Caenorhabditis elegans: one gene and its partners. The protein of the gene in region 1 binds, or shares a complex with, the protein of each later gene. Each region holds a gene or a part of one and is shown in the gene's direction. Other genes may lie near its edges. The genes, in order: unc-52, pat-4, pat-3 and pat-6.

The links.
Region 2: unc-52 (region 1) and pat-4 share a complex: the UniProt entries of both Caenorhabditis elegans proteins name them as parts of the integrin containing attachment complex.
Region 3: unc-52 (region 1) and pat-3 share a complex: the UniProt entries of both Caenorhabditis elegans proteins name them as parts of the integrin containing attachment complex.
Region 4: unc-52 (region 1) and pat-6 share a complex: the UniProt entries of both Caenorhabditis elegans proteins name them as parts of the integrin containing attachment complex.

What each region holds. Positions count from the first base shown.
Region 1 is NC_003280.10:14,681,437-14,686,101, reverse strand, and holds the start of unc-52 (Basement membrane-specific heparan sulfate proteoglycan core protein), read left to right. Parts: upstream 1-1,645; 5' UTR 1,646-1,805; coding exon 1,806-2,008; intron 2,009-2,556; coding exon 2,557-2,711; intron 2,712-2,797; coding exon 2,798-3,036; intron 3,037-3,212; coding exon 3,213-3,395; intron 3,396-3,760; coding exon 3,761-3,911; intron 3,912-4,299; coding exon 4,300-4,409; intron 4,410-4,665. UniProt on the Caenorhabditis elegans protein: Component of an integrin containing attachment complex, which is required for muscle development and maintenance. Probable structural role in myofilament assembly and/or attachment of the myofilament lattice to the cell membrane.
Region 2 is NC_003281.10:88,931-96,689, reverse strand, and holds pat-4 (Integrin-linked protein kinase homolog pat-4), read left to right. Parts: upstream 1-1,880; 5' UTR 1,881-1,886; coding exon 1,887-1,982; intron 1,983-2,544; coding exon 2,545-2,850; intron 2,851-3,459; coding exon 3,460-3,556; intron 3,557-4,052; coding exon 4,053-4,198; intron 4,199-4,827; coding exon 4,828-5,083; intron 5,084-5,497; coding exon 5,498-5,591; intron 5,592-6,007; coding exon 6,008-6,266; intron 6,267-6,900; coding exon 6,901-7,047; 3' UTR 7,048-7,237; downstream 7,238-7,759. Other genes in the region: mrpl-40 (Large ribosomal subunit protein mL40), read right to left, coding at 7,538-7,621. UniProt on the Caenorhabditis elegans protein: Probable pseudokinase that acts as an adapter protein. Component of an integrin containing attachment complex, which is required for muscle development and maintenance.
Region 3 is NC_003281.10:3,908,402-3,915,970, reverse strand, and holds pat-3 (Integrin beta pat-3), read left to right. Parts: upstream 1-1,821; 5' UTR 1,822-1,841; coding exon 1,842-2,039; intron 2,040-2,094; coding exon 2,095-2,299; intron 2,300-2,916; coding exon 2,917-3,320; intron 3,321-3,418; coding exon 3,419-3,855; intron 3,856-4,411; coding exon 4,412-4,750; intron 4,751-5,309; coding exon 5,310-5,797; intron 5,798-6,230; coding exon 6,231-6,517; intron 6,518-6,570; coding exon 6,571-6,642; 3' UTR 6,643-7,040; downstream 7,041-7,569. UniProt on the Caenorhabditis elegans protein: Integrin alpha ina-1/beta pat-3 is a receptor for laminin. Integrin alpha pat-2/beta pat-3 recognizes the sequence R-G-D in its ligands. Plays a role in cell migration, morphogenesis and probably in cell-cell interactions.
Region 4 is NC_003282.8:261,367-265,906, reverse strand, and holds pat-6 (Paralyzed arrest at two-fold protein 6), read left to right. Parts: upstream 1-1,674; 5' UTR 1,675-1,682; coding exon 1,683-1,850; intron 1,851-1,895; coding exon 1,896-1,971; intron 1,972-2,016; coding exon 2,017-2,204; intron 2,205-2,264; coding exon 2,265-2,399; intron 2,400-2,946; coding exon 2,947-3,237; intron 3,238-3,292; coding exon 3,293-3,511; intron 3,512-3,847; coding exon 3,848-3,898; 3' UTR 3,899-4,021; downstream 4,022-4,540. Other genes in the region: pqbp-1.1 (WW domain-containing protein), read left to right, coding at 4,227-4,444, 4,497-4,540. UniProt on the Caenorhabditis elegans protein: Involved in the regulation of cell adhesion and cytoskeleton organization. Component of an integrin containing attachment complex, which is required for muscle development and maintenance.

The sequences.
Region 1 (4,665 bases):
GTTTAAGTGTGTCTGTATTTTTTTCAAAATGCTTTGTGTTATGGTTTTGTTTGGGCTTAAAAACTTTTTTTTTCGAAAATTGCTAAATTATTTTTGCCATTTTTAAAAAAATTTTATTCACTTTCATATATTTACTCACTGTACTCAAAAAATCATATTTTTTCTCTTGAAAATTTTGTGTTTGTTCCAATTGTTTTTTCCTCTAATTAACTCCCAATTTTTTTCACCAGCTTTCCCCAAAAGATTTGCACTTTTAGATGCAAGAAGTATAGGGATAGTGCGAAAATCAGCAAACAATTCTCCCAGCTCTCCACCAATTTTCCACTCTTTTTCCTCGCCGCTTTTCACCTTTTAACCTACTACCCCCATTCCAAGCAGCTACCGTTCCTCCCTTAAATCGGCTTGAAGACTGTCCAATTGTTGTGTCAATATTTGTGGGGGTACTTTTATATAATCGGAAGGTTTCGACAGTTTTCGCCACCTTCTTTGGTGAGGTGGCGATATCAGTGATTATAAAAGGTATGGGAAAATGAAATATATATAGTCAAAGCTATAACCTCTGGGAGATGATTCTTCCTCTATTTATAAACACTTGAGGATGTGAAAATCGGACGGAAAAGACGAGCCACCAATATGAGGTTTGATGATCGGGGAACTCTCGTCGAGTGATGAGATGACGACGACCTGTGTATGTCGGAAAAGATTTGGGGATATTTTGTTTGGACAGGATATATGATGGTTTGGGCGGGTATTGCAACAAAAACTCTTTTTGCCAAATGAAATCAAAAGTGCACGCGGGCCGGAGCAACTTGAAAAAGGCGAAGCTTTGTACATGGTTTTCACCGCCTTCCTAGAAAAATCCTAGAATTCAGAAATTTGCAATATAGAGTTGTTTTGAATTGAAATTCATGAATTGATCACGAAGTGGCTAGGTTTATTGTATGTACAAAAGTCTTTCGATAAGACTATGGTAGCACACTCAAATGCACTTGACGTGAAACGCCAGGTACTGTGGATTCACTCTGTATCAAGAGAGTGGCCGACAAATTTTATTTTTGGCAGTTGCCAAAATTGAAAATTTTAGGAAAATTGTGGTTTTGCAACTATGTATTCATGCAACATCAACATATTTTATATGTTCTGTTGAATTTTTGTACTTTTCTGGAAATTATGTAGTTTTACATAAAATGAGGACTGCTAGATTTGAAGCTTAAACACACTGGAATTGCTTTAGAAAGTATACATGAGAACTGTATGATTTGGTTACTGTCAGCTAATGGCCAGAAACGCATTAGAATTGGAAATATTTTCTCAAACACCAATGCTACCAAATTTTCTAGCTCTTTTCAAACTTGCACCCCCAATAGCGGCAACCGCGTCTAATATAATAACAATAAGCAAGAAACATGCGAATCTATATTATATATTATGAGACGGTTATATACCATGATACTCCGTCCAACGTGGTGCATGACAAGCTATTCAAGTATGTGAGTGTGTGAGTGAGTGTGAGTGTGTGTGATGTGTTTATGCTAGTTGCGAGACGCGCAGGCGCAACAAGAGAGGCGGCTCTAAAATGCAAATATTTACCTGAGTCAGGAAAGAAATTCAGTTAGAGAAGAAGGAGGGTGGAAGCTTCTCCTAAAAAAGTGGGCGGGGCCTAAGAAGTTGCAACTGTGCCGCTGTGCCTCGCCGCCGCCGACGGTCAGCGCGCGCCTCTGTCTAGCAACCTTCTATCTCCTTACTTTCTTTTTTTAAAACTGACCTACTGCTCATTTATACCCCCCGTCAACTAGTTAGGGGGGATGGCGTTTTCGCTGTTCTCCGTCGTTTCACTGACGGTCATCTACCGGTTGACCATCAACTTTCCCGAACTACCGTACACTCAGGAGTTGAAGAACGTTGAGAGCGATGAGTTCGTGAGCACATCTAGAGATATAGCTCATTCTATTCAAGAGTTGGTCAAGGATCTAGAAGGAAGGCATACAGCTAAGGTTGCCGATTATAAGTGAGTTTTGAGTGAAAAAGGTTATCGACAATTTTGGGCGTTTTTCACTTTTCAAGAAATTCTAAAATTGCTCCCCTAATTTCCACATATTTACTTTTTTGCGGAATCTTAAAATTACAAAATGTCCATCAGTCCGTAATCCAAACCCGTAACTGTTGCCCGTGGGCCATAACCCAGAGTCCGTAATCCGCAAGTTCGGAGACCCGGGTTCCAAAATTGGGAGTCCGGAGTGCAGAGCCCGGAGTCCATCGTCCGGAGAACGGAACCCGAAGCCCGAGGTCCGAAGTCCGAGGTCCGGAGTCCGCGGTCATTCAAAATTCAACAATACTAATTTAGAAGGCATACTTCTGCAGCTTAATTTTAAAAAGTATATATTAAAGTTTTCAAATAATTCTTCCAAATTCCAATGTCATGTTTTCTGATAATTCTTAACAAAAAAAAAACGGTCGCTTCCTCCCACGAGAGAAAGTCAACAATAGAGTATTTTGTGTAAATACATGCGTATGTATGTACATGTGTGTGTACCTATATGTTGTTGTAACTTCCAGATATCACAAAATCATTGGATCTCTTGTCTACGTGGATTTGTACGCTGAAAAAGAGTCACCACTGGTGTCTGATGTGTTGTTGTCCGCGATAAAGTCTGGAAAAATTGGGAACCTTACGGTTTCCGATGAGGGTTTTGAGCTTCATGTTGTAAGAGGTGTGTTGTTGTGTGTTGTTGTGTGTTGTTTTATATGTTAAAATTATTCAGTCGCCTGAAAAATCTTACTTTACCAAAAATTGCAGACTCGTCAATAGCCTGCGCCACCACAGAATTCACATGCCTTGACAAGTCATGCATCCCGGCGGATCAACGTTGTGATGGAAGACGCAACTGTCCAGATGGATCAGATGAGCACAAGGAGCATGGAAAATGCAAGCAGCATCAACCAATCATCCATCAAACTGAGAAAGTTGTCTTCGCTCAGAAACATGGATCCATCCATCTCTCGGCTTCAATTGATAGTTCGGTAGAGGATAATAAGGTTCGTATACACTTTATTTGATTATAAAAAAGTGTCTACATGATTGGAGGCTATGCTTAATTTTCTAATTCCAAGCTATGTTGATAATTAAAAAAAAAGTTTCTTAATTGACTTTTGAATTGAGGTAATGCTCCGAAAAATCTTTTAATATTGTGTAAAACTATTGATTATTCCAGATTGCTTGGTCCAAAGACAGCGTTCTTCTTGGAGTTGGCTCGATGACCTTGGCAGAAGACGGGCGTGTGACGGTTTACAAAAAAGGAGACAAACATCATCTTCATATCATCAACGCCACCGACGCAGATGATGGAACTTATAAAATGATTGTGCAAGGAATAAATGTGGAGGCTGATTTTGAGGTAAGCGTTGGAAAGTGATTCAGGAAATTTGAGAAAAATATTAAGAAAGGGGTTTCCATATATGCTATCATTGATGGTTTGAAACTTCCTTTAAAATTTTAAATTTCCAAAAATATTGGCAAAACTGTAACTGAGAGGTTCAACGACTATTATATTTGCACATGAATTTTTTGGTCCATTTTTTAAAAAATTTTTCTTCTCCGATTTGCATATTTTGATACATTGTGTTTCAACTTAAAGGACTTCAAACAAGTGAAAATATGTTTGAAAATTTCTAAAATCAAAATTTTTCATTATTCCGAAACCGATCAGAACCAATTTCCATTTACAGTATTTTTAGCTATTCATAAAATGTTCAATTTCAGGTCCGCATCACCTCCGACCGTGTCGCCACCGAATCCGACGAATGCCCAAGCGGGGAGCGTGCCTGTAAATCTGGACATTGCCTTCCAGTCGCCCAATTCTGTGATCGCCGAGTTCAATGCCCAGATGGTGATGACGAGGAACATTGCTCTGGTAGGGGGCCTCTTAGTCATAAAATACATTGAACATTTCGTTATAATAGGTGCTAGATACTACCTCGCTCCTTAGAATGTAATAATTGATGTTTTTCATTGTGAGAAAAATACTAGTACCAAAAAATGGAAGATAGATCAATGACTCATTTCCAATAATTTTTAGTTGAAAAGCAGCCAGTAGACCCGGTTATTCCAACAAGGTGAGAGGGGACGAAAAGAGCACACACACACATGTGTGTGTGTGTGCTCGGAGAAACAATAGTTAAACATTTGACCAGCACACTTGTTTTGTTTTTCGCACACTTGTAGGAGAAAATGCTCAAGGAAAAATTGAAAAATTGTGCTCCGTGCTTGAGAAAATCTTTCGTCGACTTGACTTATTACAGAAGTGCAATGCAAATCGAATGAGTTCCGATGCGAGTCCACAAATGTTTGTGTGCCAACTGTCGTCGTCTGTGACGGATGGAAAGATTGCCATGATGGTTCTGATGAAAAGGTAAGGGGTTGGGGAATTTTAAATTCAACAAAGTTGTACTGTGAAACTACAGTAGGGAAATCGTAGGGATACATTGGACCCACAAAAAGACCGCATTTTTGCAATACAGTAGTATTCCAGAGCCTGTATGGATACTCTATAAGATATTACTGTAGATGCACTAAATAATTCAGGAATGGGCGGCAATTGCTGTTCGGCAAATCTGGCAAATCGGCAAATTGCCGGATTGCCGATTTGCCAGAAAAATCGTTTGCCG
Region 2 (7,759 bases), on another chromosome or scaffold:
CAAAAAATGCGGGAATTTTTAGCTCGAAAAAATGTGACGTCAGCACGTTGCTAAATCAGTTGAGAACACTCTGCGGCTCTTCTCTCGCATTTTTTGTAGAAGATCTACGTAGATCAAACCGAAATGGGACACTCCGACTCCCCCCGCTGGAATTGTCAGAAAATCAATAATTTTCTACGCAACCCTCCCGGTCCCCAAAATCCTTGGCATCATCATCATCAATGCTCAGTTTCCATCCGAGAATCGTGTTACAACATCCGTCCCTGCTTCTCTGCGTCTCCTATCTCTCTCCATATCTCTTTATCTCTAACTCACACGACTCCCACGGGAACCAAATCTCTGCGTCTCTCACTGCATTTCACACTCTCTCTCCCCCGTCTCTTCTCTTTCTCTCAAATGTTCTTGAATACCTTCTTCCGATGAGCTTCTCGCCCCCTCAAAACCAACTCAATTTTATGATATACTTTCTAGTGATATGATATTCCGTTATTTTTCTGCCACGTGGCAAAATTTTGGGATGTTAGGCCACGTTAGGCCCTTTCTTGGCTGTTTTGGGAAAAGCGTCTGAAAATGGTTTTTTGTCTGAAAAACGTCATTGAATTTTAGTGCTGCAATTGTGAAGTGGTAACTTTGTTAAGCTTCACAATTTTTCGTTATGCTCCGGGTTCAGGTATTTTGTAAACCCAGTCTTTGAGAAGAAAATTGCTAAAAAAACTTGGGTCCCGCCACGAAAACGCTAGGAATTTCAAGAGTTTTTACAGGAATTGATACATAACTTTTCAGTGCTGTAGAGGAAAAATTTACAGATCTTTTGGGCACAAAAATGTGCGATGGGGGCTTTGAAATAACGTGAAAATTTTTTTTGAATTACTTTTTTAATCAAAAAAGTCCTTTGGAATATTGGGGTTTTTTAAAGCTTTTTTAGCAAATTTATACTATTCTGAAAACCCTTAAACTGCTTAATTTAATGAAACTAGGTATAACTTTGTCGAACTATTTTCAGCCAAGTTACAGTAATTCTTCTGAAACTCGCTGCGGAGCTTCAGAGCAAAAATTACGATTTCCTCAAAATTTTTAAGAGAAAGTTACCATAAATTAATATTTTTCTGATGGCTCGGAAATTTTCCTATTCAAATTTTGAATTTTCAAGACCAGAAGCTCGTTTTCAGCCAAATTTTAGAGCTTTTTCAGGAGTTAGCTGTGAAAGGTAAAATTGGAAAATGTCCTAGAAGCGAATTTGCCGGTTTTTTGATAAAAATTTTCAGGCAAAATCCAGGCAAATTTGTACTTTTCTGAAAGCCCGAATTCTCATCTTTTCAAATTCTTAGCATTCAAGACCAGAAGCTCATTTCAAGCGAAGTTTCAGAGCTTTTTCTGAGCCAACCTCTAGACGACGGAATGGTCAACGAAAAGATATCCCACAATCGCTTGCCGTTTGTTCTCTGCGCGGGATACTACTCCCTCTCCACAATACATACATTTACAACAAATTTCGTCTTGTTCTCTGCGTCTCCTACATAGTCCTCTACTATCTCGCCTGGCCAGCGGGGGAACAATGTTGACCCCCCCCCCCCCATGCCGTCGCCTCAGCAAAATTCTACTGCTTTCTGTTGTACTTATTGCATTGTTTATTTGTCTATGTCTCTTATATCTAACTTTTTTGGCTTGAAATTATAGATTCCGGGCTTCATGGGGCCCGGGAAAAAGTTGGAAAAATTGAGAAAATTTGGAAATTTTTGGAGATTTTTATTGATTTTTTAATAGTTTTTTTCTTCAATTTTCACCGATTTTTTTTGTTGTAATTTTACATGTTCCTGCTCAATTTTTCTTGATTTTTTCAAATTTTACACTATTTCACACGTAAAACCTTATATTTCCAGTCAACAATGTCTTTGTCGACTCATTACCATGCGCACAAGCCAAATGTGCCCATTATAATGGAGGATGTGTTTGGATGGGTCCGCGAGGGTAACGCTTTTCAGGTGAGTTTTGTAAATATTTTTATGGGGTTAGGCTCGATGAGAGCTTTTGAAAAAGTATAATTTTGTATAGGTTTTTGAAAAAAAAAATTTGGAAAAAAATTGAAAATGTTTGGAAATTATTTTTTTTAATTCTAGAAAAATTCAAATTTTTTCGCTGAAAAGTGGGCGGAGCGTATATGAATTTATACTTTTTTGAAAGTTAATGTTTTTCCTCAATTAAAAAAATTTAAATTTAAATCCGAAATTCTGAGATTTTCTAAAAAAAAAATTCATTAAAAATTTTTTTTTTTTAAATTTAAATTCCTATTTAAAATGGCGGAGCTTATACAAATTTATACTTTTCTAAAAGTTAAAATTAAGCTGAATTTGAAAAAAATTGTTGCCAATTTGAAAAATCAAGTTTAAAGCTAGATTTTAAGCTTAAATCTGGAATTTCCGGTAATTTTTGTCCGATTTTTCTTTTCATGCTAACTTGATCAACTTTCACCGAAATTGTCCAATTTTTTTGCAGAGGATTTATCACAATCCTTACTATAGACTAAGACTACTATCAAAATTTCAGGTCCGCGTCTGGTTGGACGATCACGAGCACGATCTCAACGTCGGAGACGATCACGCCTTCTCACTGCTCCACTGGGCCGCGAAGGGCGGCCACGTGGCGATTGCAGAGATGCTCCTGTCACGTGGAGCACGTGTAAACTCTACGAATATGGGAGATGACACGTCATTGCATTTGGCGGCCGCCCATGGACACCGACAAATTGTGGTGAAGCTTTTGTCGAGAAAAGCCGATGTTAACGCTACCAACGAGCACGGAATGACTCCACTGCATTATGCTTGCTTTTGGGGATATGAACAAATTGCTGAGGTGATTTTATTGATAAATTCGAATAGAGCTTGTTTAGAGCTTCAAAATAAGTATAAACTCGATTGGGAAAATTTTTTGGGAAAATTGGAAAAAAATGATTTTTCAAAAAATTCAGAAAATTTTTTTTCCAAATTTTCGAATAAGTTCTTCTCGGAAAGTTTTAATTTCGCAATGAAAATGTATAGTTTAGGTGAAATTATTTTTATAATCAAATATAACTAGATTTGAGCTTTAATAAATGTATAAATTCATAAAGGATGCGCCCACTTTTGACCAAAAATTTTGAGCTTTTTTTTGCCGGAAAAAATTTCTGAAAAAAAAATCATTTTTTCAACACTTTATAACTTTGGAAGTTTTTTGGCTATTTTTTTTTATGTTTTCATACTTGCGTCCTAAATATTTTAAAATTTCAATTTATTATACCAAAAACACAAAAAGTCCCTATTTACAGTAGCCCCTGGGAGTTTTCGTGGCGGGACCCAAAAATTTATCGAAAATTTGTAGAATTTTCAAAACCCGGGCATGATTATACTTTTTTGAAAGCTCTTAACAAGCTGAATTTGAATTTGTTAATAATTACCTTGATTTCTTGCAAAATAACAACTTCAGGACCTAATCTCCTGCGGCGCCGCTGTCAACGTGTGCAACAAGAAGGGAATGACCCCACTGGACGTTTGCCAGCCAATGTGCAAAAACACTATTTTGGGTAAGTTTTTTGTGCATTTTAATCTGAAAATTGAATTTTTTTAGTCGGAAAACATATAGATAAGATTTTTAGAAGAAAAAATGCATTTTTTGAAAAAAAAAACATTTTTCAACATTTTTACAACTTTTCAAAAACTCATAACTTTTTAGTTTTCAAGCGATTCGATTTAATTTAACGTTAAAATAAGTCTAAAAGATCAAGCTTTTTGGTAAATTAACTTAAAAAATTGAAAAACATAAACTACAGTAACCCTATAAGTTTTCGTGGTGAGACCCAAAAATTCTGAAGTCTTCTGGGCAATGCTCATTTTGTGTGGAGCCTGGGCATGATTATACTTTTCAGAAAGCTCTTGGTGAGCAAAATTTAATTTTGATACTTAAAAATAATGTGTACAAAAATTTAATGTTTTTTTCAGCAAAGACTTTTGACTCGCAAAAAGTTTTTTTTTTGGGATGACTTTTTTCTAATAAATTTTTAAATTATCGATTTTTTCTAGAAATTGCTCAAGAACATGGACAATCTCCAAATGACCGTGTACCATTCAAGGATACCACATGGAAGGGTACAAAGTCCCGTACTCGGGACGCCACACTGTCCCGCTACACCGGAGTCGACGTCTCCTCGCTGAATTTGATCACTAAAGTGGGTTATAGATTTTTTCAGTGGAAAATAACTTAAAAATTCAAATTCAGCGTAAAAAATTAGTTTCAATCGTTGAAGGATGGGAATTTTCCGCGAATTTCGAAGTTTCTGAAAAAATTCGAAAAAAAAAATTTTTTAAGGAAAATTTTCAAACATTGAAAAAATCATAACTTTGACTGTTTTTGAGATTTTCAGCCGGTTTTAACCTCAAAATATGCACAAAAACTTGTTCTACGTCAATAAAATATTAAAATACTGTATTGACACAAAACAGCTTAACACTATGGATTTTCGCGGTGGGACTCAAAAACTCGTCGAAAATTGGAACCCGCTACGTAAACTTCCAGAATTCACTTACCGTAGTGTATATTATTATTTAATATAAATAATACTGTTTTTCAATATTTTATACGTGTTTTATGTCAAAAATCTGCAAAAAATCTTAAAAATTGGCAAAGTTATTAAGATTTGAAATGTTTGAAAAAAAAACTTCATTTTCGAAATAAAAATTTTTTTTGACCTGAGTAAATGTATACTTTTCTGAAAGTCTAGATCAAGATGAACTTGATAAGCTACCTCAAACTTTAAAAATCCCAAAAATTTCCAGCTTAACCCCCACTCTGTTACAGATCGCTGAATCACACTCCGGAGAACTGTGGCGTGGAAAATGGCAGGGCAACGATATTGTGGCGCGAATTTTGAATGTTCAAGAAGTGACCGCCCGTATCTCACGTGACTTCCAGACCGAGTTTCCGGCTCTTCGTATTTTTGCTCATCCGAATATTTGTGCGGTGCTCGCCGCGGCTAACCAGCCACCGAACTTGGTGATCATCTCGCAGTACATGCCATTTGGAAGCCTGTATAACGTGCTCCACGAGCAAAGTTGTGAGTTTTGAAGGTTTTCATTGAAAAGGGCGCAAAAATTAGTCCTAGAAAATGTTTTGAAAATTTTTTTTTTTGATTTCGAAAAAGTAGAAAAAAATTTTTTTTTGATAAATTTTTTTTTTTCAAAATTTGTACTTTTCCCAATTTTTGAGATTTTTTGTTAAAATACTGCGCACAGATAACTCAAAAAATTGTCTTTTTAGTAAAATTATCAATATCATATTAGATAACTTATCTACAGTAACCCAACAGTTTTCGTGGCGAGACCCAAAAATTCTCGAATTCATGCTAAAATGGCCGGAGCCTAGGCATGATTATACTTTTCTGAAAGCTCTTAACGAGATCTATTAGATTTTGACATTAATTTGTGAAAAATCGCTGAAATAATTTAATAAAATCAATAAAATATTGCAGCTGTCGTCATTGATCACGGGCAAGCCGTCAGATTCGCGTTGGACATTGCTAGAGGAATGAGCTACTTGCACAGTTTGGACCCTATGCTTTTGAGGTTAGTGTGGTTGAATGGAGCTTAAAAAGAGCTCCCAGAAAAGTATAAATTTTTATAGGCTCCGCCCATTTTTCTGGCGGGAAAATTTGAATTTTATGTTTTTAAAAAAATTTGGATTTTTTTTTCCAAATTTCAAAAGTTCATAACTTTTTTAGTTTTTGATACTTTCAAACGGTTTTTGGCTTAAAATGTGCCTGAAATAATGTTCTTCGAAAAGTAGCTACAACAAAAATTTTCAAAAATTGTTTTCAGGAATCCAAGAGTTTTTGGGGCACTACTCGAAAAAAAACTTAAAAAAAATTTTTTTTTTTTTTTTTTTTAATTTTTTAATTTTCCCCCCATTTTTTTACGTTTCTTAACTAATTTTAGAGTTTCAGATAATTTAAGCTATCATAAGCCTAAAGCCCAGTTTCCAGGTTCTACCTCTCCTCCAAACACGTTGTAGTCGACGAGGAGCTCACCGCCAAACTCTCAATGGCAGATACGAAATTCTCGTTCCAAGAGGTCGGAAAAGCCTATTCGCCTGCCTGGATGAGCCCAGAAGCCTTGTCACGGGCTCCAGAAGACTTGAATATTAGAGCTGCCGATATGTGGTCATTTGCTATATTGTTGTGGGAGCTGAACACTCGTGAGGTCCCATTCTCTGATCTACCGCCAATGGAATGCGGAATGAAGGTAAGGGAGGGTTTTTGGAGGGCTGAAAGTGTGAAAAATGATGTTAAAATCCTAAAATTAATCTATCAGTTAATTTCGGATGAAATTTTGGAAAAAAATTTTTTTTTGGCCCAAAAAAAATTGTTTTTCTATTATTTTTTTCAAAAGTGTTCATTCTTAAATTCAAACTCAGAAGCTCAAAACAGGCCGTGACAACATTTTTTAGCTCGTTTGGGCTCAATGTCGTAAGATTCGGTGTTTGCGTACTTCCGAGACTACAGTACCCCGAAAGCCCTGAAAATGGAATAGAAACGTCTAGTAACGACTGACCACGCTCAAAATTTTGCGAGAAATTCGAATTGAACCACAGTTTGTTGACATTTTGAGATAAAATCAAAATTTTTTTCTGAAATTTTGTCAAAAAATTCGAATTTCTTCGTATAATTTTGATCAAATATAATTTTTATCAAAAAATTTGAATTTCCCGTCACTTTCTACCTCAATAAACTCAAAAAACTCATTTTCCACCGCTTTTCTGCAAGTCGTCGTCAGATTCAGTGTTTGCGTACTTTTAGGGTTACAGTACCCCTTACACCTCCAAAATCAGCGTTTCCAGACCCAAATTTCACGCTGAATCCAAATTTATTAATTTCAGATCGCTCTGGAAGGTCTCCGAGTGCACATTCCCCCTGGAATCGCCCGTAATATGAACCGTTTGATGAACATTTGCATGAACGAGGACCCGGGACGTCGGCCAAACTTTGATCAAATCATTCCGATTTTAGAGAGAATGATATTATGATTTATCGATTTTGCTTTTCTAATGTTTTCAACAATTTTTTTAAAATTCAATTTATCAAAGCTTTACATCAAAAGTGCCTGCTCCTTGTCCAGCCCCATCGCATTTTCCGTCTATATATTAATTTTAAATGTTAAACTGTCAAAAAAAATTGCTCAATTTATGAAAAAATCAATAAAATCTTATGAAATGTAAGGATTACTGTACGCAAACACTCTTCGACAAAAAAGTTCGCTGCAGTAAGTTTCATGTATCCAAATAATCAGTTGCCAAAAATTTGCACGTGTAGCCTAGTGGCTAGTGACCTCGCCCGCCAATCACAGGGCCTGGGTTCGATCCCCGCAGTGGCAAATTTATTTTTTCCAGCTCGGTTTCACTGAAATTTTTAGTTTTTTCCATAAAAATCGATAATTCCTTTATTAATGCGTCATCCTATGTCACTGTCTACAACAAAAATACCCATAAAACACATAAAAATCAACAATTTTCGGCTCTAAGATGCCCAATTTCTCGTAGTATCAATGTAGTCGCCGTCCGGAGCCTCGTAGTTTCGAATGGGCGGAGTCAGTGAGGGTCCCTGTAAGAAATTTTAAAGGATTTTTCGGAATTTTTTAATTTTTAGAAAAAAAAATTTGGAAAATTCCAGGTTTTTTAAAAAAATTTTTTAACCAATTTTCGGAATTTTTCGCAAAATGTCAGTGAGTTTTCAGATTTT
Region 3 (7,569 bases), on another chromosome or scaffold:
CCAACAGTCGACCCCTCTTCTCATTGTGTCTGTCTCTCCACAGATTCAATGCTCTTTTATTCCGGGCTAGTGCTATGATTAAACACACAAGGGCAATACGAACACAGAGAGACATAGAGACAGAGGATACTAGTATATGTATGCACCAGATGTCTTACTACTTGTCATCCCTTGGTTCCCTTCTTCGTTTTGTTCCTCCCAATTTCAATTTCAATTCAGTTTGGATTTTGAATTAGTTCCTATCAGATTGTTATCGATTTGATGGATTGGAGACGGGAGACGGTGGGCGTGGGAAATTTAGAACAAGAATGACTCAGACGCTATTATTTTCTACTCTTTTCGTTATTTAAGTGTTGAAATCGTCGTTTTTCACAATGTCTAAATTGTTATATCGTTGTATGATAACTTTTGACAGCCATTTTAAAATTAATTATACTTTGACATTTTAATAATTACTAGGTGCATTCATAAGCTGTAAGAGCAAGAATTATAGTTATCTTCAAAGTTTCACCTAAACTAGTTTACCAGGAACAGTTTTGATGTTCAGCAATGAGTTTAAACATTTTTGGAATAGCGGGAAGCTTAAAAATACCCAAAATAGTCAGAAATTTCATTAAACCACAAAAAAAAGAAGGAAAATGTCGATCTAGAATGTGAAATCCTTTTTTTTAGTTTCAGCTAATATCCCTGTTTGAATGTCTTCCAAAATGAGAATCCACTCCCACTTTTGAACCAAACTAACGATATTGAAACTATCGAAAAATCCCTTTCCTCACCACATCAAACCCCCTCCTGTGAATTTCGCAATTTCATCGGTCTCTGATGTCTCTAGAAGCTCCCGATTCTAACGCCTTTTCACCCATTTCCCTTTGGTTTTCTTCCCTTCGTCTTCTTTGTTTCTTCGACGATACAAGCAGGTGTAACTCTCGTTACACTTTGGTCCGAGCCCCTCTCCCGGCCAACATAGAGCACTCTATCGCCTACACTATCTCTTCGAAGAGCATTCTGCTGCTGGGTTGATGGCAGTTGTGAAGAGAGAGAAGGCGAGAGATGCTCCTGTCGAAGCACTTGGCAGATCCGCCCACGTTCCGAAAAGAGGTGATCGGTGGACGTAGTTGATACTTTTATCGATTTTTAAGGTTTGAAAAGTTATGTGCATAACTTCCAAAAATGTTAAACGGATGAAGTTTTATCCCGAAATCTCAAATTTCATACATTACACATGTGTGCCTGCAGATACCGAATTAAGTTATTGTTTCCCGAAAATACTGTACCCGGTCTCGACACGACCGATTTTTCTCAAATCCGAGTTGTCTGAACTCCAATATTCCTCGCTGCAAGTTTTTTTATATTTTCCCCCGAAAACTATGTAATTTTCTAACAAAAAGAACATGACTCCGTTATACTTCCCGCATTCACTCCGTTTGTTGAGTAAACAATAAATTTTCCTACTATGGTGACTAATATTTCAAGAAGTCATTTTCTTTCAAAATTTCCTATATATTTTTTATTGTATAACTTTTATATTATAACTTTTTCTTCACTGAAGAAATTATGAATTGGGGATGTGCCATTTTTAGTATGATATTCTTGATTTTTATATCAAAATATTTTTTTCAAAAAATCTAACTTTTTTGGAGAGCTTTAAAAATTTCAAAAGTTGTATGAAAGTTGCCACCTGTTGAAAGCAGTTTGATATCAGGTTTCTGTAGAGTTTCATCATCAATTTTTCTTATAAATACACCATTTTTTAATCTCACCGTTTTTTTTTCTAATTACTCCGTTCTCAATGTACTAAAAGCCAATTAATTAATTTTTCAGTTGAACCTACCCGGCATCAAATGCCACCTTCAACATCATTGCTGCTCCTCGCAGCACTTCTTCCATTCGCTTTACCAGCAAGCGATTGGAAGACTGGAGAAGTCACTGGAAAAGTCGTCGAAAAATCAGAATTCCCATGCTACAGTCTGTCACGTGACAATTACACATGCTCAGCGTGCATTCAATATCATGAATCTTGCGCGTGGTGTGGAGCACCGGTATGTTAAATGCTTGAGACCATGAATTTATTTTATTTAATAAAAAAAATTCCAGATGTTCGACGAGAAGAAGCCATATGCCCGTTGTGATAGCCGTGCCAAGCTCATGGAACATGGATGTCCAAACAGTTATATCGAGGATCCGGCCACAAAATTGGATATCACTGAAGACAGTAAACTCTCCGATCAAGGACAAGTTGAATCTGAGGAAGAAGCCGTTCAGATCAAACCACAGGAGATGTACGTCGAAATTCGGCCCAGTAAGTTTTTTATATGGTTTTCAAAGATAATTCGTTTAAAAACTCGATGAAAATAATCAATAAAATACAAAAAATTTTTTGGGGTTTCAGCAAAAAAAACGAAGATTTCAGGGTAATTTCGTAGTCTTAAATTTTCAGGAAAAATTTGCACTAATTAAAGAAATGTTTTTCATTGATTTTTCACAACAAAAACCGCTGAAAATCACATTTGAAAATTGTCTCAAAAACACTGAAAAAAAAATCGTACTGCATTTTTTTTGCGGAAAGTTAAAATATTTCCGGTTTTGGTTATTTTCAGCCTCTTTTTTATTTAATTTTTATCTTAAAAAGCTCCTGTAATATACAATTAAGTGAAGTAATTTATTATTATTATCATAATTCGTTGATTTACACATTTTAGGCTCGTTTGACTATTTTTGGATTTTAAGAGATTTTTGGGCTTAAAATATGCCTAAATCAACGAATTAATGATAAACTTCTAAAATTTGCAATTCAGGGTGATTATAAAATAAAAATTAATTAGTGACCGCTGCGACTCGAAAACTTGTAAAATCACAAGATTTTTCTCTAAATCCAGTTCTTCAATATCAACAACAATCTAAATGTTTTTTTTTCAGAATCCCGTGTTCGTTTCAATGTGACCTACCGTCAAGCCGTTGATTATCCAGTTGACTTGTACTATTTGATGGATCTCTCATATTCCATGAAGGATGACAAACAGAAACTGTCCGAACTCGGAGACTTGCTCGCCGAACGAATGAGAACTGTCACAAAGAATTTCCGATTAGGATTCGGTTCATTCATTGACAAGAAACTTATGCCATTCATCGATCCACGAATCGAAAAACAATTATCTCCGTGTCCAACACCATGTGCAGAACCATATGGATTCAAGCATCAAATGTCATTGACGACGAACACGGCAAAGTTCAAGGCTGAAGTTGATAAAGCTGAAATTTCTGGAAATTTGGATGCTCCGGAAGGAGGTTTCGATGCTGTTGTTCAGGCGTTGGCTTGTAATGTAAGTGGTTATTTGATTTAAAAGAAAAATTCAAAAAGAATCAAATCAACATTTTTGAGATATCGGGAAAGCTTAAAATCTAAAAATCAATATTTCAGAAAACCATTGGGTGGCGTGAACGTGCTCGTAAAATGATCGTTTTCTCAACTGACGCTGGATTCCATTTCGCTGGAGACGGAAGATTGGCAGGTGTCGTCGAACCAAATGATGGAACATGTCATTTAGATAGAGAAGGATATTATACTGAAACACTTAATCAAGATTATCCATCAATTGCACTTCTTCATCAAATGATCAAGGATCGTAAGGCAAATGTCATTTTTGCTGTTACAAAGAACAATCAGGATTTGTATACACAATTGTCGAATGCACTCCCAGATGTTTCATCGTCGGTTGGAGTTTTGGCTAATGATTCAAGAAATATTGTCGATTTGATTGAGAAGGAATATTTGAAAATTAGTGAAAAGATCATTATGGTTGATAATGCAAATGCTTCAGAAGGACTCAAGCTCACTTACAGATCTATGTGTTTGGAGTGAGTTTTTTGAATAATATTCAATTTAAATGAAAGTTGGGAACTTTTGAAAATTAAAAAAAAAACAAAAAAACGCTGTAGAAACAGATTGAGAAAGACCTCGATCATGTAGATTTACGCAGGCTTCGTGTACTCCACGAGAAGAAGCGTTTTTGGCTGAAATTCTGATTTTGGATTATTTTGTTACTTTTTTTGTATTTAACATTCAAAATTGGTAATATAATTTTTATTTATGGTATTTCAGGTGAAAATCTGTTAATTCGGTGTTGAAACCTTCAGATTCATCCGCTTTTACATAAAACAATATAAATAATTGTAAAATATCTACAATATTGCCCTCGCCGTGCAATTTTCAATATTCATTTTTCTCGAAATTAAAAAAAAAGTAATTTGAATCGAAAAATTGAGCTCTCTTAAATTCTCACGTTTCTAGACGAAAAAGTCTTCACATAAAATTGTTTTAAACTAAAAAAAAGCACAATTTTGGAGCGAAACTATTAAAATTATTACAATTTTATTCTAAAATTTGACCCTATAAATAACCGTAATTTTTCAGCGGAACCACACTGAAAGATACCAATGTTTGTGAGGGAATTCGTGTTGGAGATGAAGTTCAATTCGAAGTAACCCTTGAAAATACTCATTGTATCGATAAACGTGATTTTGTTCTCCGTATCGGACCATCTGGATTGGATGAGACACTTATCGTTAATGTTAAAGTTTTATGCGATTGTGATTGTGAACGTCAAGACAGAATTGTGACGAATTCGGCTGATTGTAACGGAGGAGATATGGTTTGTGGAGTTTGTCGATGCAAAGGAGGAAATGTTGGAAAATATTGTGAATGTAATAGACCTGGAATGAGTACTGCTGCGCTCAATGAAAAATGCAAAAGGTATGGTTTTTTTTAAAATTTAACATGAAAATTATGTGAGAAATAATTTTAAAAAATATATTGGCCGAGCAGTATTAAAAAAATTTTAATCGAAAAAAAAGCTATAAAACTTCTATGGCTGGAATACTAATCGAAAATTGATTGGAATAAAAATTAAGATCACAAAATTTTGAAATTCCTTGAAAATTTCCAAATAAATTGATTTTCTGTAGTTTTTTCTTTTTAAAAATTTCAACTGAATTTTCTCGGTTTTTTGGATAAAATTTGACGCCTTCGATGGAATCACAAGAAAAAACGAGAAAATCCATTTAAATTTGCCGGAAAAACTCCGAAAAAAAGGTCGTTGCCTAATCAGAAGTTTAAACTTTTGCTCGAAAATTTAGAAAATAATTTTTGCTTTCTTACATTTTTTAAAAAAATTCAGAGAAAATCAAAAAAATTGGAAAAAAAGTTAGAAAATTAACAAAAATTAAATTGTTTATCAAAAATGCTAAAAAATTTAAGCTATTTTTGTTTTCCGTTTTTTCTTTTTTAAAAATTCTAATGATCTAATTTCCAGAACTAACGAATCAGCAATCTGTGAGGGTCGTGGTGTGTGTAACTGTGGACGTTGTGAATGTAATCCACGTGCCAATCCAGAAGAACAAATCTCTGGAGAATTCTGTGAATGCGACAACTTCAATTGCCCACGACACGATCGTAAAATCTGTGCAGAACACGGTGAATGCAACTGTGGAAAGTGTATTTGTGCACCTGGATGGACTGGAAGAGCCTGTGAATGCCCAATTTCAACTGATTCATGCCTCTCTGCAAATGGAAAAATCTGTAATGGAAAGGGTGAATGTATTTGTGGAAGATGTCGATGCTTCGATTCGCCCGACGGAAATCGATATTCGGGAGCGAAATGCGAAATTTGTCCGACGTGTCCGACGAAATGTGTGGAATACAAGAATTGTGTAATGTGCCAGCAATGGCAGACAGGGCCACTTAATGAGACCGCCTGTGATCAGTGTGAATTCAAAGTTATTCCTGTTGAGGAATTACCCAGTAAGTTAAAAAAATATACTGATAAAGCAGAAAATCAATTTTTTAAATGTCAGAAACTTTTGAAAATTTTATTTCTGAAAAAAAAACACGTTTGATCGGAAAATTTAAAGAAAAAAAGATATTAAAATATTTTTTCGAAATATTGGAAAACTAAAACTTTTGATTTATCGAAAAATAGCTTGGAATTTTGCCCATTTTTCTTCTTTTTTTAAATGGAAATTTGATTTGATTTGTTAAAATATTACACTTTTTGTTAATTTTCTAAACGTTTAATCTTGATTTTCAGGAAAATAGAAACATTTTTTCTGAAAATAATGGATTTTGCCTTAAAATGTGTATAATACTTAAAACGTAAATATTGCAATTTTGCTAATTCTCTAAACCTTTTTTCTCGATTAAAAAACTTGAAATTTTGAAATTTTAAAATTTCCAGATCTCAACGAAACTACACCCTGCCAATTTGTGGATCCAGCTGATGATTGTACATTCTATTATCTCTACTATTACGATGAGGCCACAGATAATGCAACAGTCTGGGTCAGAAAACATAAAGATTGTCCTCCACCTGTCCCTGTGCTCGCAATTGTGCTCGGAGTCATTGCGGGTATCGTAATCCTCGGAATTCTTCTCTTGTTGCTCTGGAAATTGCTCACAGTACTTCATGATAGATCCGAATACGCTACTTTCAATAACGAAAGGCTTATGGCCAAATGGGATACGGTAAGTGACACGGAACAAAAAACATATAAATTTATCAAATTATCATTTTTCAGAACGAGAACCCAATCTACAAACAGGCCACGACAACATTTAAAAATCCAGTATACGCTGGAAAAGCCAACTAAATAGTTTTTATCCTTATATTTTAATAATTTTCCCAAATTTTCTAATATGAAAGCTCAATTTCTCCATCCAAACAACTCGAAACGAGTATTTAGCGATAAATTGTCACATTCTTCTTTGTTTTATTCAAAAAATCTCCATTTTTTTGTTTTTTTTTCCTTCATCAATTGTTCATCACACTGCTTTTACCCCATTCTAAATACGGATTTTTTTCTTCCTTCTCTATATATTGACTTGCTTTATATTCATCTTTCATTGCCTTTTGTCCCTCTTAACACCGACCAACAACTCACACACTTCTTGTACTATTTCCAATTTTCAATGGTGCTTTTATTTTTGAACTATCTTGTTCGAATTTTTCATGTAATATTAATTTTATATGAAAAAAATCTGAAAAATTAATTTTTTGTCTTTTTAATTTTTGGTTGAAACTGATATTAGCCATAACTATCTGAGAAGACATGTTAAATAATATTTTTAAATTATAAAAAGGAAAAAAAATTGCGCGTAAAGTGAGGAGCTTGGTGTTTGCATCCAAGTGCACAGAAAGCATTCAACTTGACGACAATTTTTTATTTCTTTTAATTTCTTTAAATTTTTTCGTTTAAAATTGGAATTCTTTTTATCCTATTTACCGTGTGGATTTTCAATTTTTCAGTTTAGAAGATTCCCAAAAGTTCGAAAAGTTTCAAGTATTTGACCCGAAGTGGTTTGACAACTGTTATTAAGCCTGATTAATTTATTTTTTGCATATCAACCGATTTAAAATTTAGTATTTACCACTTAAAAACGCTAGAGACTACAATAATCAAATATCTGACCCTCCTTCAAAGAATAAACAAGTTTTTTTTGACGTGAATTGTAGGATTGAAAAAAGAAAGATAGAGAAGTGACTAGACTTTTCTTAAATACGCACAAAAATGAGAGAG
Region 4 (4,540 bases), on another chromosome or scaffold:
TCTTGACACAGACACCTACAATTTGTTGATAACGAAGGATAGACGCATCGGGTTGATGATTAAACAAATTTGAAGGAAGTACACGAAATTTCAAAAATTTAAAGGTGGAGTAGCGTCAATGGGGATTTTGTCTAAATACGCTTATTATGATTTCAAACGACCGAATATCATAATAAAACTACAAAAATTTTTAGATTTTCCCTAATTTCGGTCAAAGTTTTGGCACATTACCAAAATTTTGACAAATATGAGCTTTTGAGGACATCCAAAGCAATGTCGCATATTCCGGTCTTTACAATGATTCAACAAAAATAATTGAAACAAAATTACAGTATAAAAAATGTAGGAAAAATAATTTTTTTTGGTCGACTTCCAAAATTATGAGTGGCAAAAACTGAATATTGAACACTTTTTGACAGTGAATAAAAATTTTTCAAAAAAGTTTTGAAAAGTTTTATTATGATTATTTGTCACTTTGGCACCATAGGAGTATTTTTTAACACTTACTCCATTGGCCCTACTCCACCTTTAATAATTTTCAGATTTCCTAATTTTCTAGATTGCATGCTAATTTTTACAATTACTAGTTCAATGTTTCTTAATCTGATTTCGGTTTAATGCAACTATTATCATACGCCAGGAAATCGAATGTACCGTACGTATAATCAATGTAACTGATGTGATTTTTCATAATTTTTTCCTAAAATTGTTTTTCAAAATTTTTTCAAAAATTGCTATGGAAAAAACTATTTTCAAAAGACCGACCTGTGGACCGACTGTACCGTATTTCCTCTATTAGTCTTGCACTCCTACAGACTAATTGAAAATCAGTCTTACAGCCTGTAATAGTCTAGCACCCCACTTTTTGTCATATTAGCAGAACTTTGTGGAAACGTAAGCAAATTTATCATTTTTGGAGTAAATCAAATGTAAAATCGTTCAAATAATTGATGTAATATTGGGAAAGTATGTATTTTTCATTGTTTGAACGGTCAAAATTGTATCACTTTCCAAAGTTCGAAAAATAGTTTTCAGTCTCTATTAGTCTTGCACCCCTAAAGACCAATTGAAAATTAGTCTCGCATGCAAGACTAATAGCGAAAATACGGTAAATGCAGAGTTGTTGTCTTTCTTAATTTATTTTTATTTTTATTTATTTGAATATTAGTTGTTATATGGACGTCCTTTTCTTTCTCAATACATATGCATATACAAATATTAACTTTCCGTTCTTCTTTCCTATTCCCATACATTTATATGTATCCCAAAGCCTTCTCTCTCCCCCACACACACCATTTATCTGCACCATCCTCTTTTCACCCAATCTCTCATTTGTCGTAAACTCTCCTTCCAACTCTACGTCTCTTATTGTTCCCAACACTCTCTCACTTTTTCAACACTGACGACGGCTGTTTTACACTATCTGCTGGCCTGGATGGGGACTTTTGTGTTGCTCTACGGAAAGAATCCTCCCACACAATATTTTTACTGCTATTTGAACATTGAATTATCGATTTTTCAAATTTAAATTTAAGTGCTTAAAGAGGAAATGTTCCAAAACAGAGTTTCATAATGAGACTTCAAAATTTTTTTAACTTATCAATATCTAATTGTACTTTATTTTTTATTATGAATCAACAAATATTTACCCCTTAATAATTTTAAACTTTTCAGCAATAACCATGTCAACACTTGGTCGTAGTAAGACCCCATCTCGTGACGAACCAAAAAAGCCTGGAGTCTTTGAGAAACTCTCTGGTACCCTTTCTCGAAAGAAGAAGGCGCCGGAAGATGAGCATGGAAACCAAGGGGGTGCACATCATGCTACTGATGAAGATGAAGTTTTGGAGGTTAGTTTTGCAAATTAATGGTTTTAGCAAATATAGATTTTTCAGCTTGAACTTGAAGGTCGTGAGGCTCTCGATCAGTCATTGGTCCCAGTTCTTGCAAGAAACATCTGGTTGGAAGAAGGTAAACGGTTTCACCAATATATTTATCCAATATATTTTTTTCCAGGAGAAATTCGTCGTTATCTGACTAAGGAAACAGCCCGCGATCAGAAGTTGGCACAAGTTGTCGATTTGCTGATCTACTGGCTTAATGAAGAGCTAGCTGATCAAAGAATTGTCGTTCGTCACTTGCAAGAAGATCTTTTCGATGGTCAAATCATCCAGAAGCTGTTGGAAAAGTTGGAGCAGATTCGAGTAAGTTATTGGTACAATTTCACAAATTGAATAAATTCTCCACTCACAGTTTTGTTACAGATCGAGGTTCCAGAAGTTTCGCAGTCAGAAGAAGGACAACGTCAAAAACTGCAAATTGTAGTTCAAACAGCCAATCGAATTCTCGGACAGCCAAGAGAACAAGAGAAATGGTCTGCGGATCTTATTCATCAAAAGGTACGCAAATCTTTGTCTGAATTGTTCATTTCTATCAGTCTTACATTTCATTGTGCAGATGTTTGACGCACTGTAGACAAAAGAGTTTCTCACTCGAAGCTGTTCCAAAAACTACCGTATATTCTATATTAGTATGATATGTTAATCTGTGGACACCTCCGCCACACAATACTATTCATCATTTACTATATATAAAGCGCTTATTCTGTGTGTCCATAGTTTGTAGTCTATGTAGTCTTTGTAGTCTGTGAAGTTTTGGCTTCTTGGGATAGTGAGTTGGGGTTAGTGTAGGGATATAGTCGAAGTACTGTATTGGCACAATAGTGGTACGGTAGGAATACTGTAGTTTCAGAAAAAATCAGTTTTCACCCCCAGGTCCACGGCTGGTAATCTATATAGAAATTCGTGAACTGCAATACTAATTTTCGAGGTGGTTTTTGGATGCAAAACTTATTGAGAATATACGATAGTTGAACGCAACAGTACTTTTCGAATAAACAGAGTTACTTTCCATATTTTATATTTTCTCATAAAAGAATATTCCCAGGACTTCACTGCCATCATCCAGCTCCTGGTGCTTCTTGCTCTTCACTACCGTGCTCCAGTTCGATTCCCAGATAACGTGGTTGCTAACGTTGTGGTGGCTCAAAAGGAACATGGTCAAGTGAAGACCCATCGAATTACTGAGCAAATCACTACAGTTCAAACTGAGTTGGCACCGAAGGGCACTCGTGACGCATTTGATACGCTTTTCGATTATGGACCCGATAAGTTGGCTCATGTGAAGACATCTTTGTTGGCTTTTTGTAATAAGCATTTGAATAAAATTAATCTGGAAGTAAGTTTATTCACTTCATTGTGCTACAAAGAAGCTGATATTTGTAAATTTTTAGGTGTCTGATTTGGATAATCAATTCCAGGACGGAGTTTTCTTAGTTCTCCTAGTGGGACTTCTTGAAGGTTATTTCGTCCCGCTTTACCATTTTAATCTCCAAGTTCAAAGCCACGAGGAGAAAGTAAAAAATGTGCAATTTGCGTTCAAACTTATGGAAGACACTGGCCTTGAGAAGCCTAGATCTCGTGTTCAGGATATTGCCAATGGAGATGTTAAGGTTTGTAGTTTTGACAATTTACAGAAAAATATACCATTTTCCTAATTTAATTCAATTTACAATCCTCAATTTTAAATAGTGCAAAATTTTAAGGGATTGAAATCAAAGTGTAATCGCGCTTCAGCCGGAAATGAAAATGTCCCGCCTCCTTTAATTGGGTCTCGTTAGGTATCGCCATTTGGTTGAAGCGCGATTACATTCGCAGTTGTCGAATTTTCTTTTCACGACGATTCAGCAATCCCGAAGAATTTTAAACAAGTGGCAAAAACAAATTTTCTGCTCATATCTGATGCGATGGATTTTCTATATACAATCCTAATTCATTCTTTATTGCAGAGCACTCTCCGTCTTCTCCATTTGCTTTTCACTAAGTACAAACATATCTAATCTGAGAACTTCATTCGTCATCCTAATCAAACGACACCGTCCAATAATTTGTGTCTGGCTCAACAACTATGGTGCTTTAATTTTGTTAAAATTGCATTTATGTCAATAAATCTTTTAATTTTTAGACTTAGCACTATATTAAATTAAAGAAATTGGCAAATTCCGAAAAAAAAACTCTATTTGAACTCCCTCGTAAAGGAGATTTGCAATGGGGCGCGTTTGCATTAATAAAATTTAATGCATTTTCTCATCGATTCTTTTATTCTTGTTTCTTTATTTTAATTAATATGAATTGATTGTATATAAAATTGTATTTATTTTACAGAAAATGCCTCTTCCACCAGCTCTTCTCGCTCGACTTCAAAAAAGGGGAATTGTAAAGCAAGAAGAAGAGGTTATCGCTGAAAACTATGAAAAAGAGCCAGAAAAGAAAAGTTTCGAAGAGAATTCGGCAGGAGCACCTGGTTGTCCAAATAAATGGAATCAATATCACGTTTGCCTCGAATTTTGCTATGATCATTGGGGCGATGGAACTCCGGAATATCGGTTTGTTTTGAATTTTAGCGAAAAATTAATTAAAAATCGTTTTTTTTTGCAGGTTGCCCGAGAGATATGTGCAGAACAAAAACAGAATGCTTGCAA